Linked DNA regions of Cricetulus griseus. The protein of the gene in region 2 binds, or shares a complex with, the protein of the main gene of each other region. Links are inferred from orthologs where the notes say so. Each region holds a gene or a part of one and is shown on either strand. Other genes may lie near its edges.

Region 1 (3,583 bases), on a different chromosome or scaffold from region 2:
CTTCTCAAGCCTGTGTCTCTCTTGTTTTATGTGATGATGCCTGGCTCTCATGCTCACAAGTCCAGCCCTAGGCTCTACACCATAGACAGTAGACCCCTTCACCCTGCTCAAAGTGATATTTATGGTTTGCTCCACCTTACCGAGTCCTCCCTTCTGGGCCAGTCTCTTAACTTTGCTACCTACTCTCCTCAATAGCTGTGCCAAGCCAAGGGCTTCATCTGTGAGTTCTGCCAGAATGAGGATGATGTCATCTTTCCTTTTGAGCTACATAAGTGCCGGACCTGTGAAGGTGAGGACAGATACTAGCTTTGAAACAAGCAACACTGGACCCCAAGTGAATGTATTACCTGAGAGTTCTCTATTAGCCAGAGTATGGTGTGAGTAACTCCACACTCCACCACCGCCACAACATGAGCTATGAGGAGGAGTGGCTGAGGTGATAACTTGCTTCTAGCCTGATAATACAAATCATTTTCTTCTCTCTCTTTTCAACCTGACTAGAGTGTAAAGCATGTTACCATAAAGTTTGCTTCAAGTCTGGAAGATGCCCCCGGTGTGAGCGGCTACAGGCCCGGCGGGAGTTGCTGGCCAAGCAGAGCCTGGAGTCCTACCTGTCTGACTACGAGGAGGAGCCCACGGAAGCCTTGGCTCTAGAGGCCACTGTCCTGGAGACCACCTGAGGAAAGGACCTAACCCTTTGTCTAAAGGGACTGGCTACGGTCAAACGATACAGAACTGAACCACACCTTCAAGGAAGGTGATGGGGCCTTTTTAAAAAGTATATTGTCATTTTTTTATGACTTGTCTGCTGTCCAGGTGTAGGCAACCTTTATTGGTTGATTGGTCCAGCCTGTTGTGACAGTATCTGTGTGCATTGGGTATTCCCATCAGAACTGCCACTTGGACTGGCTCTTGTCAGGGGAATGGACAGCGAGTGAGACCCAGTTCTTCTGACATGCCTGGCCTGTCCCTCGAGGACCAGATCTGATTGCAGCTGCAGCTCAAGGCTCATTCCCACTCTTGACTTAGTTCCCCAGCTTCTGAGCCAGGCCTTCCTCAGCCAGTGGTCTTCCTTCAGCTTGGCTGCTAAGATGGGAATGGGATTTTCCTGTCACAGTCCCGAAAGAGAACAAGACTGTGCCCTGAGGCTGGGAAGAGAATGGGGCTACCCGGTGGGCATTCTGTACAACTTATGTAGGCACTGAGGGATGGGTAAGAACACAATCCTTAATCCTAGAATCCTTAGAGACCTCAAGGAGGCAAGCATGACTTCCCTGTTTCAAGTATACCAGGCATCGGTGGACACAAGCCAGCTTGTGTACTCTGATGGGCTTGAAGCAAAGAACAGAACTGAATCTTAGGCCAGGCCCATTTGTAGCCAGCACTGCACACATAAGTAAGGTGCAGCTGTTGCCTGAGGAACATTTATTCAGATAAAGGATAATGGCTGCCTCTTGGGTGTTCAGTCTCTAGTTAACTAGCTTGAGCACAGGTGCACTTCAAGCTCAGGCAAGTCCCTCATGCCAGCCTAAGGCGAGGATAGAAACCCCACCCACCATCTTAATAGTGGTCCCTTACTGCTCTGTATGACTGTGTGACCACTCTGGTTCTGCATAAAGGTGTGACCCAACTCCATTCTCCGTCCCTTCCCCCAGCAGAGCGGGGGCCTCCCATTGGCTGACCTCTTGCCTTAGGTTCTTTTGTCAGTCGGGAGAAGCCTGTCCACTTAGTAGCATTGGAGAACTTGACAGTTTGTGAATGTTTGTTTGCTCAGAGTAACAGGAGCCTTTATGCCGTTTATGCACTTAACTCTTCAGCCTCAGTAATGTATGTTAAATCATCTGTTCATAGTACTGATTTTAATAGACTCCTCCCCATCACTTAATGTGCATTTTATGGGGTTTGCTAGACTAAGCCAGACACTTGCTGCAGCGCCTAACCTCTGTAAGCACTGGTCAGGGCTGCATCTCAGATCCTGGCAGTTCTGGGAACTGATGTCCACAGTGCTTTTGTTCTAGAACTGACTTCTTCCGTGTACCTGTCTTCCTGTACTTGGTTGCTAGTGAAATAATTGGCCCGAGCACTGCCCCAAGAAGCCAAAGTTGCAAGTGGTTGGTGGAAGCGGGCAGGTTCTGAGCTGCAGGGAACAAGGGGTCTCCCCGAGAGACAGAAGGGACGCTGATGTAACAGCCACACTGAGCTCTGGCAGAGCAAGAAGAACATGTCAGAACTGGCCCATGGTGAGGTTCCTCTGCCTCACGTTTGGGAGCTGACAACAGCATTGGACCGGTTGACTAGGACTCTTCTCTCAGTTGTAGGTGAGACCCAAAGCTGAGGCCAAGGCCACTTTGAAGGGCTGGTTAGAAATCCCCCTTCCTTCAAGGAGATGTAGGAATGACCCCTTTAAACTCAAGTGTCACCAAGTCAGACCTCGGATACAGACTCTGACTGGACTTCCAGTTTGTGGCTGACTTCCAGCTCACTCTAAGTCACCACACTTGAGGAGATTGCCACCGCCCACACTCCCAGTCAACACAGGTTCAAGCTGGCCTCAGCCATGGCACTAAGTTTCAGTGTTCCCCACCTCCCAACCCGTCCCTTTAGATCACATGTCTTTTAGTGCCCCCTGATTCTGTGCTGTCATTATGTCCAAATACATGTGTTTATTTATTTGGGAGTGGGGAACAGAGGAGATGTCATGAAAGCACTTTGTCACTTGACAGTATCTGAGAATCCCTGCTGTGGAGAATTCTGAATGCACTGAAGAGAGCTTGCTGGAGGCGGCTGGAGTGAGGCATTTTCTCTGTACAAAGGGAAGCATTTGTTCCTGAGGTGGAGACTAGCTCCAAGGCACCGAGAGGCCTGGGAGCCCACAGCTCGGCACTTAGGAGGTTCCTATCAACTCCCTCTGCCAAGGGTTGAGAGCTTTGGCTGAACTAACAGAAAAGGAGCAAGAGTCTAAATAAAAAGATCTGTTTGTGTACAATTTGTGTCTTGAACTGGATTTTCACCTGCTGTAATTCATGTACATCCTAACAGTTCATGGTCATCTTTAATAAACTTAAGGACATGGAATCTTGCCTTTTGTTTACCTTCCTTGATGACTATGGGATGCTTTTGTGTATCTACTGAAAAGCAGCCATGTCTGAAAACTACCCATGTGATGTTGCATCTCCTCCACGTGACTATTTTTGTTAGTTGTTTCATTGTTGTTGTTATTGTTGGTTTTTAAAGACAGGGTCTCACTGCGTATCCCAGTCTGGCCTCAAACTTGGAATCCTCTTGTCTCTGCTCTCCTAATGCTGGGACGATAGGTACACACCACAAACACTATTCACGTGGCTCCTTAGATGTCTCATTATGGTCTCCACCACTATCTAAAACCAACATTTATCTCTACAAACCTAACCATTAGTGACTCACATTTGAAAGCTGGTTGTCTTTGACTTCCTCTGAATCAGGTCACGTGTCTGGCTAGTCAGGCATTATCTCCTCCCCACCTGTCATCAAGTGTGTTGATTGCCTTTTCCTTTTGTATCTCCTTCCATTTCTCCCACTCCCACACAAGGTAAGTTCTCTCAGT
Region 2 (3,643 bases):
TTACAGTTCAGAGGGTGAGTCCATGACCATCATGGTGGCGAGCATTGGCAGCAGGCTGGCCTGGACTGGAGCAGTAGCTAGGAACTTAGTCTTGAATTCTTTAGTCTTAAATTCACGGCTGCTAGGCAGATTATAGAGGTATCTTGAATCCTTAAAGCCCATCCACAGTGACACATCCTCCAACAAGAGACCAAGTATTCAAATATATGAGCCTTTGGGGGCCTTTCTCATTCAAACCCCCACACCTACTGAGCCATCCTGCCAGCCTCTCCCCCTGCACTATCCTAGGAAAACACAAACCTTCTAGTATATGATGGTAGGGTGATTGTTGGTGCTCCCCTTGGCTGAGAGAAAGGCATCTGTTTGCAGTTGTGACAGGTAGGTTGCTTTGATAAAATGTTTTGTTTTGCAGGGCCTTGTGTGTGTCAGGTACACACTTTACCAACTCAGGTATCTCTAGCCCAGAGAGGTGGCTTTTTAAATTGAAAGCACAAGTTAGTTTTAGTCCCTAATTTGACTTAGACTTGTGGTTTTCTCCAATTTCAGTGTTGGAAAGACATCCCTCATGAACCAGTATGTGAATAAGAAGTTTAGTAACCAATACAAAGCCACAATAGGAGCAGACTTTCTGACCAAGGAGGTGATGGTTGACGACAGACTTGTCACCATGCAGGTAAGCCACTGCAGAGCTGCTAGCCTGACTAGTTAGCTTACTGAATCTTTTTAAAAATGTATTACTTATGTGTGTGTGTGTGTCAGAGGACAACTTTGTGGAGCTGGTTCTTTCTATCTTTATGTGTGTTCTGGAGACTGCCCAAAAACCCAAAAACACTACCTGCTGAGCCCTCTTGCAGGTCCAGCTTACTGAATCTAAATTATTTTAACATGTCCCTGTTGTAGGCAGACTTTTGTTTCCCACCCACCAGTTCCCAAATAACTGACATGGAGACTCAATATTAATTATAATTGCTTGGCCGATAGCTCAGGCTTATTACTAACTAGCTCTTACAACTTAAATTAACCCATTTATATTAACCTACATTTTTCCACGTGGTGTTACCTCTTTCATCTTGTACCTCCTGTTCTTCTTTGTGTCTCCATGGTGACTCCTCTGACTATGACCTCCTCCCCAGTGTCTTTAGTCTAGTTTTCCCACTTACTTTATCCTGTCCAGCTATTGCCCAGTCAGCTTCTTTTCTGAATAAAACCAACCAGCGTAGTTTACACAGTATACAGAATTATTATTCCCAGCAACGTGTTTAAACCCTGTTTCTCAAACCTACCATTGTATTCATAGAATTGTTAGATAAAATAAAAGGCAACCACTTTAAACTTGAGTGGGGCATGGTAGGAATAGAATCCAGGGCCTCATGCATGTTGAGTGCACATGTTCCTACCACTAAGCTAGACCCCAACCCTAACTTTGAATTTTATATTGCATGACAACTAGGAATTTTTATAAAGTTTATTTTAGTTAAGTTTATTTGTTGTTTGTTTTGCTTTCGTTTTTGTTTTTGAAGACAGGTTTCTCTGTGGCTTTGAAGGCTGTCCTGGAACTAGCTCTTGTAGACCAAGCTGGTCTCATACTCACAGAGATCACCTGGCTCTGCCTCCCAAGTACTGGGATTAAAGGCGTGTGCCACCGCTATTTGTTGTCTGGTTTTGCTGGCGTTTTGTTTTTGTTTTTCCTAAATTTAGCAACCTACGGATCCCTACTGTTTTCCAAAATGTTTTCATATTTCTTTCTTTTTTGAGATTGGTGGTTGTAGGGTCTGTCTATGTAGCCCTGACTTTCCTTGGACTCACACTGTACACTAGGCTGGCTGTGAACTCAGAAAGATGCACTTGACTCTGCTGGAATTAAAGTCTTGAGCCACCATGCCACTTATCTCTTATTAGTGTCTTTGTCTAGTGCTTTAGGTCAGAAATCTTTGTGTGTTTCCTAACTTCTTACACAGAAAATATTAAGGTGGCTTTCGTTTGTTTGTTTGTTTGTTGCCTCTTCTATTTATAGCCTTTGGGACTGGAGAGATGGCGCAGTGATGCAGAGGACCCAGTTCAGGGGCCAGCACCAGGGTTTATAACGGTAGTTCTAAGGGATCTGTTACCCTTTTCTGCTCCCCAGGCACCAGGCATGCAACCTGCTGCACCAGTGCAGGCAAACACATAAATAAATCCTTTAAAGTTTTATTTATTATGTGTACACTGTTCTGCCTGGATGTATGCCAGGCAGACGGCACCAGATCTCATAGATGGTTGTGAGCTACCATGTGGTTGCTGGAAATGGAACTCAGGACCTCTGGAAGAGCAGCTAGCATCTCTCCAGCTGCAATAAACCCTTTTTTATAAGATTGAGTTCTGTTAAGCCAGTCTAGTGTTTTCATGTGTCTGCTTAGCTTAATACCCCAAGTGTATTAGTGGTTCCAATGAAAAACACTTTTAAAAAATCTTCATGTGGGCTGTACTCTTTGTGTTGTTGAGGTGTTTTATGTAGTATGTACATGTTTTTGTGCATAAACATGTCTAGAAAAAGAATCCCAATATTTTTTTATTTTGTCTTCTGGTCCATAATGACCACTCAGGTAGTTGGTATAGCAGCATCAAACTAAAGAGACAAGAGAAGATTAATCTTTCACATTAGATCTTTGAGTTTTAAATTAAAGCCGAGGGCTGTCACCCCGTATTTTAACTTTTTGATGTGTGTGAATGCAGGTGCATGTGTACCAAGGCATGAGTGTGCAGCTTAGACAACAACTTCCGGTGTTGATCTTTGTCTTCTACCCCTCCCTCTTTATTTTATTTTTAGCAGGATCTCACTTGGTAGCTCTGGCTTTATATAACAGGCTGGCCTTGAACTCAGAAATAGTCACCTGTGTTTGCTTCCTAAGTGCAAGATTAAAGGTGTGCACTATGACATCCAGCTTCTACCTTGTTTTGAATCAGGGTCTTTGTTCTTATTTTCCCACTACATATGCCAGAGTAGCTTTCTCTGAGCTTATAGGAGTTCCTGCCTCTGTCTCTATCTTTTATCTCCCTGTAGTAGTGCTGGTATTATAATAGAAGTTCCCCATGTATGTCTGGCTTTTATGTGTGTGATAAGGATCAGAATTCAGGCTCTCATATTTATAACCCCATTTTCTTTAAAATTTTTATTATATATTTTCAATGTGCATTAATGTTTTGCCTGCATATATGTATGTTTGAGGGTGTTGGATCTTCTGGAATTGGAATTATAGACAGGTTGCCATGCAGGTGCTGGGAATTGAACCTGGGTCTTCTGGAAAAGCAGCCAGTGCTCTTAACTGCTGAACCATCTCTCCAGCCCCTCTTTCTTTTCTTTGGTAGATATAGTGTTTCATTTAGCCTTTTAAGAGCTTTGGGGAACAACAGGATCTTATATGAGTTCAGGCTGGCTTGAAACTGTAGCAGAAGATGATGGCTGGGACTGTCTGGTCTCCCTGCCTCTGCCTCCTTAGTGCTGGCACTGTGGGCTGCTGCTACCACAACTAGCACAAAGTCAGGAACTCTTTATTGGCTTACAGTTTAGAGTGGAGGTAATGGAAGTCAGCCTTCCCAAGCCACCCACACATACACAGCTAGAGGTTTTCAAAATATCTGAGTGAAAGTTTAAAAAACCAAATTT
Region 3 (4,432 bases), on a different chromosome or scaffold from region 2:
TCTGGAAAGAAAAAGAAACTGTTTTTCTTCATTTAATTGGAATGGTTTTAAGTTTTTGCAAGCAGGAAGCAAAAAATTAAACCAATAAGCATTTATTGATGGACAGTTCCCAGTCCAAGAAATATGATGGGTAAATGATGTTGGATTCCTTTAAATTACAAGAAATAAAAGGACAGCATCACTTTATCCAAGCTGAGTTTCACCACCTGACACAGCTTGTGTGACTTAAGCAAGAACTAAACTACTATGTGCTTCATTCTTTCAAGAATAAAACAGGATGAATGCTAGCTATGTTCTCTTTGTAGGAATGGGGACCGTTTTAGATGTGTTGTAACTCATGAAATCAGTCCTGAAACATCACCATTGCAGCACACTTCTGGAGAAGCGGCTACACAAGACATGTTAGCACTTCCTCAGGCAGACTTTCATCCTCACACTTCTATTTTCCTTTTGCTAATCTAAAAGCAGCTTTCTAGTGATTTCAATGCTCTATCAACTCCACCCTAGTTAAATGTTAGTAAGTGGATAAGTCAATTAAACTTTATGAAGGTGGTGGCAGTCCTCACTAATTTCTGATCAGTATTGAATCCCAAGCACTGAGAATGTAATCATGTAAAAGTATGTTTCATAAACTATGCATACTTCACAGAACTAGAAATCCTGCACTCTGAATGACCAGTTCACCATCCCCTGCAAAGCCACAGGAATATGTGCCTCACACAATAGTTCTCTTGCCACCCAACAGTTTAAACTGCCGTTTATTCTATTAGTTTAACAAAACATAACCAGTAAAATTCCAAGCTTCACAAATCAAAACTTCATTCCAAATCTGCTTGAGACTGTGCTAATGTCCAGGGACAGTCAATCTCCACTAAAGGGCAGTTGTAAGACCATACTAGATGGATACTTTCAAAGAACAAAATCTAAAATGCTCAATTTAGTGAACATGGAATCAGTAGAAGACCGAAAGAGAAGTTTTTTAAAAAGTGGCTGTTTTAAAAGAAACAAGAGCCTTTCTACTCAAACAAGCCTCCCAAGACCCACAGATGAAGTCTATCCCTCCAAATTTTCATTTCCAGTAAAAGAAAACTCAATACATGAATCACAACAATGTATCACGTAAAACTAGGCCCACCAGATAACAGCGGAGACTTTTAAAAACTCAAAATCCCCGTCTTTAACATATCTTCAATTGACTTCAGAGCGGAACAGCCACTGGGAACAGCCACCTGAGTGAGAGGTGGAGTCTGGGTCTGTCTGAGATGCAGAATCTACTAACCAAGGGCAGAGTGACAGTCGCTACAAATTCAGAGAGAGGGACCACCAGGCACAGGACTCAACTCTTAAGACGCGTCCTTCTGCAACAAACCCTGCCTCGACCCCCAGAGCTGCTAAAGCACTAAAGCCTGTGCCACTCACAACAGACCTGGGCTGTGAGCACGCCCTTCAGGCCTGCAAGGCATCCAGAACAACTTCTCCTCCTCCACGTGGTCCAGGACAGGCTGCAAAAGGCAGTGGTGACACAGCTGTTGCCCCCAGGGTGCAGCAACCACATACAAGAGTATCTCAACAGCCCCAGGAGGCTCCGAGTGGACCAGGGGCACCGGGTCGGGCTTGCAGCTCGCACTGCTGTCTTTGGCAGCACGGGCAATGCCCGCCACGCGCTCGTCTTTACCCAGGGTGGAAGCTCACTGCAGACCAGGGCCGTGCTGGGTGCTGGGCCTCGGCCCTTCCCTGGAAGGCCACCGTCCCCCCGCCCGCCCCTGCCCCATACCCCGGCAGCCGCGGCTCCCCCGACCGTGCGGGCCCTCACCTGATCTTGTAACTGGGCAGGGTGTGCTTGCGTTTGATGATCTTCTTGAGCTGGTTGACGATGATGGAGGTGAGCTGGGGCATGGGCCGCCCCTCGAACTGGGAGCGCACCTCGAAGTCGATCAGCGGGTCCTCCACGAAGGAGAAGAACCAGTGGGTGAAGGGCACTCGGGTGAGGACGAAGCGCAGCCTCCCCACCACGCGCGACAGCTTGACGAACAGGTAGGCGGACTTGCCGAACACCAGGTCCACGTCGATGGCCAGGTGGAAGCCGCCGCTGTACTCCACCTCCGCCTCGAAGGCCAGCTCCTCGGGGCAGGTGGCGGGCAGCGCGTCGGCGTCGGCGCCGTCGGGAGGCTCGCCCGTGCCCGAGGCCACCACGGGCCGCACCAGGCGGATGGTCTTGATGAAGGGCACCGCGTCGCCCAGGAACACGTCGCGCAGGCTCAGCCCCTCCAGCAGGCGGCCGGCCGTCTTGGTCTGCAGCAGCTCCTCGAACTCCACCTTGATCTTCTTGGTGACCCAGCGGCGGGCGAGCGCCGTGTCCCGCAGCTCCCGGAACAGGAACAGGATGGTGGCGTTGAGGAAGTAGCAGGTCTCCCGCGTCGGCGGGGCCGGGCTGTCCGGGGTCGCGGTCGCGGTCGCGGTGGCGGACGGGGTCGGGGTCGGGCTGGCGCCGGCCTCGCAGGACCCGGCCGCGGGCTCCTCGCCGCCGCTACCGCCGCCATAGAGGTACTCCCTGAGGGCCAGGCCCGGCACCGGCTTGAGGTAGCGGAAGCCGTCGCCCGCGCGGGCCGCCTCGTCCGCCCGCGGCTCGGGCTGCCTGCGGTAGAGCAGCAGGAACTGTGCGAGCAGCGTGAGGAACGAGCCCAGCACGGCCGACGCCAGGATCAGGAGCAGCAGCCCCATCCCGCCGCCCCGCCGCCCGCCGGCCTGCTCCCGCGCTCTCCGCGCCGCCCTCCTCCTCACGCCGTCGCCCCCGCCGCCTCCATCTTGAGGACATCGGTCGGGATGAGCGGCTCCCTGGGCCCGGCCGGAGCGTCCGCAGCCAGGCGCTGCCGTGCGGCGCCTCCTCAGACGCTCGCTCCCCCCGGGGAGGACGAGAGGCGGCGGCGGCGGCGGCGGCGGCGGCGAGCGGCGGCGGCGAGCGGCGGCGGCGGGCGAGGGAGGGAACGCCCCCCTGCCCGCAGGGACGCCGCTCATTGGGCGAGCGGCGCGTGACGTCAGAGCGGGCGCGCTCCCGGTGGACGGGCCGGCGTGCTCGCGGGTCCCCTCCCCGGCCCCCGGGCGAGCGTCCAGCGCCGCGCCCCCACGCTCGCACTCGGCCACCGGGGAGAGCCGGAGAGAGAGAGAGAGAGAGAGAGAAACAGGGAGACAGGGAGACAGGGAGAGCCCGCGCGTCCGTCCTCTCCGGAGCGCAGCGCAGCGCAGCGCGGGGGATGAGGGAGGGTGACCTGGAGGAGGAGTCAGAGCAGCGGTGCGGGCGGACCGGGCCTGGCGCGGCCCTCCGTTATCCCGCGCCCATCCCCCGCGCTGGCCGTGGGCACCTCTGCGGCGACCGTCCTGCTTCCCGCAGTGTGTCGCCGCCTCCCCCCTGCAGGGCAGCGCAGCGCCGCAGAGAGCCGGAGCGCGGGCGCCCGGCTGGGACACGCACTGCCCAGGCCGGCCAGAGGAGCGAGTGCATCCGAGACCGCTCGGGTCCCCAGAGGGAGGGAAGAAGGGGGAGCCCTGAGAAGGGACCGAGAAGAATGGCGAGGAAGAGGAGGAGAAGGGAGAGGAGAAGGAGGAGGAGGAGGAGGAGGAGGAGGAGGAGGAGGGAACTAAACTTTCCCACCTCAGGGGAGCATTCGAACGTAAACGAGAAGTTCGCTCCGTTGCCCAGGTCTGGGAGGAGTTAGGTGGGCTGAAATGAATTTGCCAGCAGGTTGGAAGATGCCTTAGTGACTCCCTTCTAATTGTTGTCCACGCCGCCTCCCCCCTCCTCCTCCTCCCGGCCTTATCACTGGGTCCATCCCTGAGGCAGTTGGCTGCTCTTAGCACCCTCCCATTTCACAGATGGCTACACTGGCACAGTCTAAAAGAAGCTGTCGGGGTCCTTGGCTTCTACTCGATATAATAACGTGGGGAATGCTGGAGTTTGTTGGGCCGGGGAGGAGCTGATCAGGTCCCAGAAAGAATTTGGAGATGCAGAGACGGGAAAGCAGGAGGTTTTTGCACAGGGTAGGCCAGGACCCAACCACCAGAGCTGCTGTGTTCCCTGGCAACAATGTCTGCTCCGGTACTTTCTGACTACTCGGTTGTTTCATCATAGCTTACGTCCTTCCACGCGGACGCAACCTTTTAGTCCTAGGGAAGTCACATACTCCAGTGCTGAAAGTCTGGAGGACTCGGGCTGCCTACGAGACATCAGTGCGGGTATCCTTTCTAGCCCTTGAACATATGCAGGCCAAGGAGTGTCTTGACAAGAGTGATTCTAGAATTAAACCAGAGTTCTGACCCAGCTGGGCCAGGTTTGGAATCAATTTGATCTCCTCTTTCTTACTCATGGCCGGGTCTGAGGCCAGAATGGCTTTTGAATGAATGGGAAGACAGATGTTTGCCGAACAACCTAGCTGACATT

What was found.
Region 1: the proteins of Rab7a (region 2) and Rubcn are in contact, whole or in part, in a crystal structure (PDB 6WCW), measured with the Homo sapiens proteins. The link is inferred for Cricetulus griseus from reciprocal best matches to the Homo sapiens genes RAB7A and RUBCN. Residues at the interface, in NP_004628.4 of Homo sapiens: Ile41, Gly42, Ala43, Asp44, Trp62, Gln71, Ser72, Leu73, Gly74, Val75, Ala76, Phe77, Arg79, Ser101, Asp104, Glu105, Ile108, Gln109, Ser111; in NP_055502.1 of Homo sapiens: His818, Asn821, Met822, Lys824, Thr825, Arg827, Leu883, Gln885, Ala886, Lys887, Gly888, Phe889, Ile890, Glu892, Gln895, Glu897, Ile900, Pro903, Cys915, Lys916, Arg931, Arg934, Arg938.
Region 3: the proteins of Rab7a (region 2) and Pdzd8 are in contact, whole or in part, in a crystal structure (PDB 7F6J), measured with the Homo sapiens proteins. The link is inferred for Cricetulus griseus from reciprocal best matches to the Homo sapiens genes RAB7A and PDZD8. Residues at the interface, in NP_004628.4 of Homo sapiens: Lys10, Leu14, Asp16, Ser17, Lys38, Ile41, Gly42, Ala43, Asp44, Phe45, Gln60, Trp62, Gly66, Glu68, Arg69, Phe70, Gln71, Ser72, Leu73, Gly74, Val75, Ala76, Phe77, Tyr78, Arg79, Thr98, Ser101, Trp102, Glu105, Phe106; in NP_776152.1 of Homo sapiens: Ile999, Lys1000, Leu1001, Val1002, Arg1003, Lys1004, Glu1005, Gly1007, Leu1008, Asp1009, Asp1010, Phe1013, Ile1014, Lys1017, Gln1044, Leu1051, Asn1054, Asn1055, Val1058, Leu1077, Leu1084, Gln1085, Thr1088, Ile1092.

What each region holds. Positions count from the first base shown.
Region 1 is NC_048597.1:56,716,169-56,719,751, forward strand, and holds the end of Rubcn (run domain Beclin-1-interacting and cysteine-rich domain-containing protein), read left to right. Parts: intron 1-195; coding exon 196-289; intron 290-501; coding exon 502-680; 3' UTR 681-3,075; downstream 3,076-3,583.
Region 2 is NC_048601.1:55,308,458-55,312,100, forward strand, and holds part of Rab7a (ras-related protein Rab-7a), read left to right. Parts: intron 1-546; coding exon 547-673; intron 674-3,643.
Region 3 is NC_048596.1:1,975,329-1,979,760, reverse strand, and holds the start of Pdzd8 (PDZ domain-containing protein 8), read right to left. Parts: upstream 2,913-4,432; 5' UTR 2,722-2,912; coding exon 1,814-2,721; intron 1-1,813. UniProt on the Homo sapiens protein: Molecular tethering protein that connects endoplasmic reticulum and mitochondria membranes. PDZD8-dependent endoplasmic reticulum-mitochondria membrane tethering is essential for endoplasmic reticulum-mitochondria Ca(2+) transfer.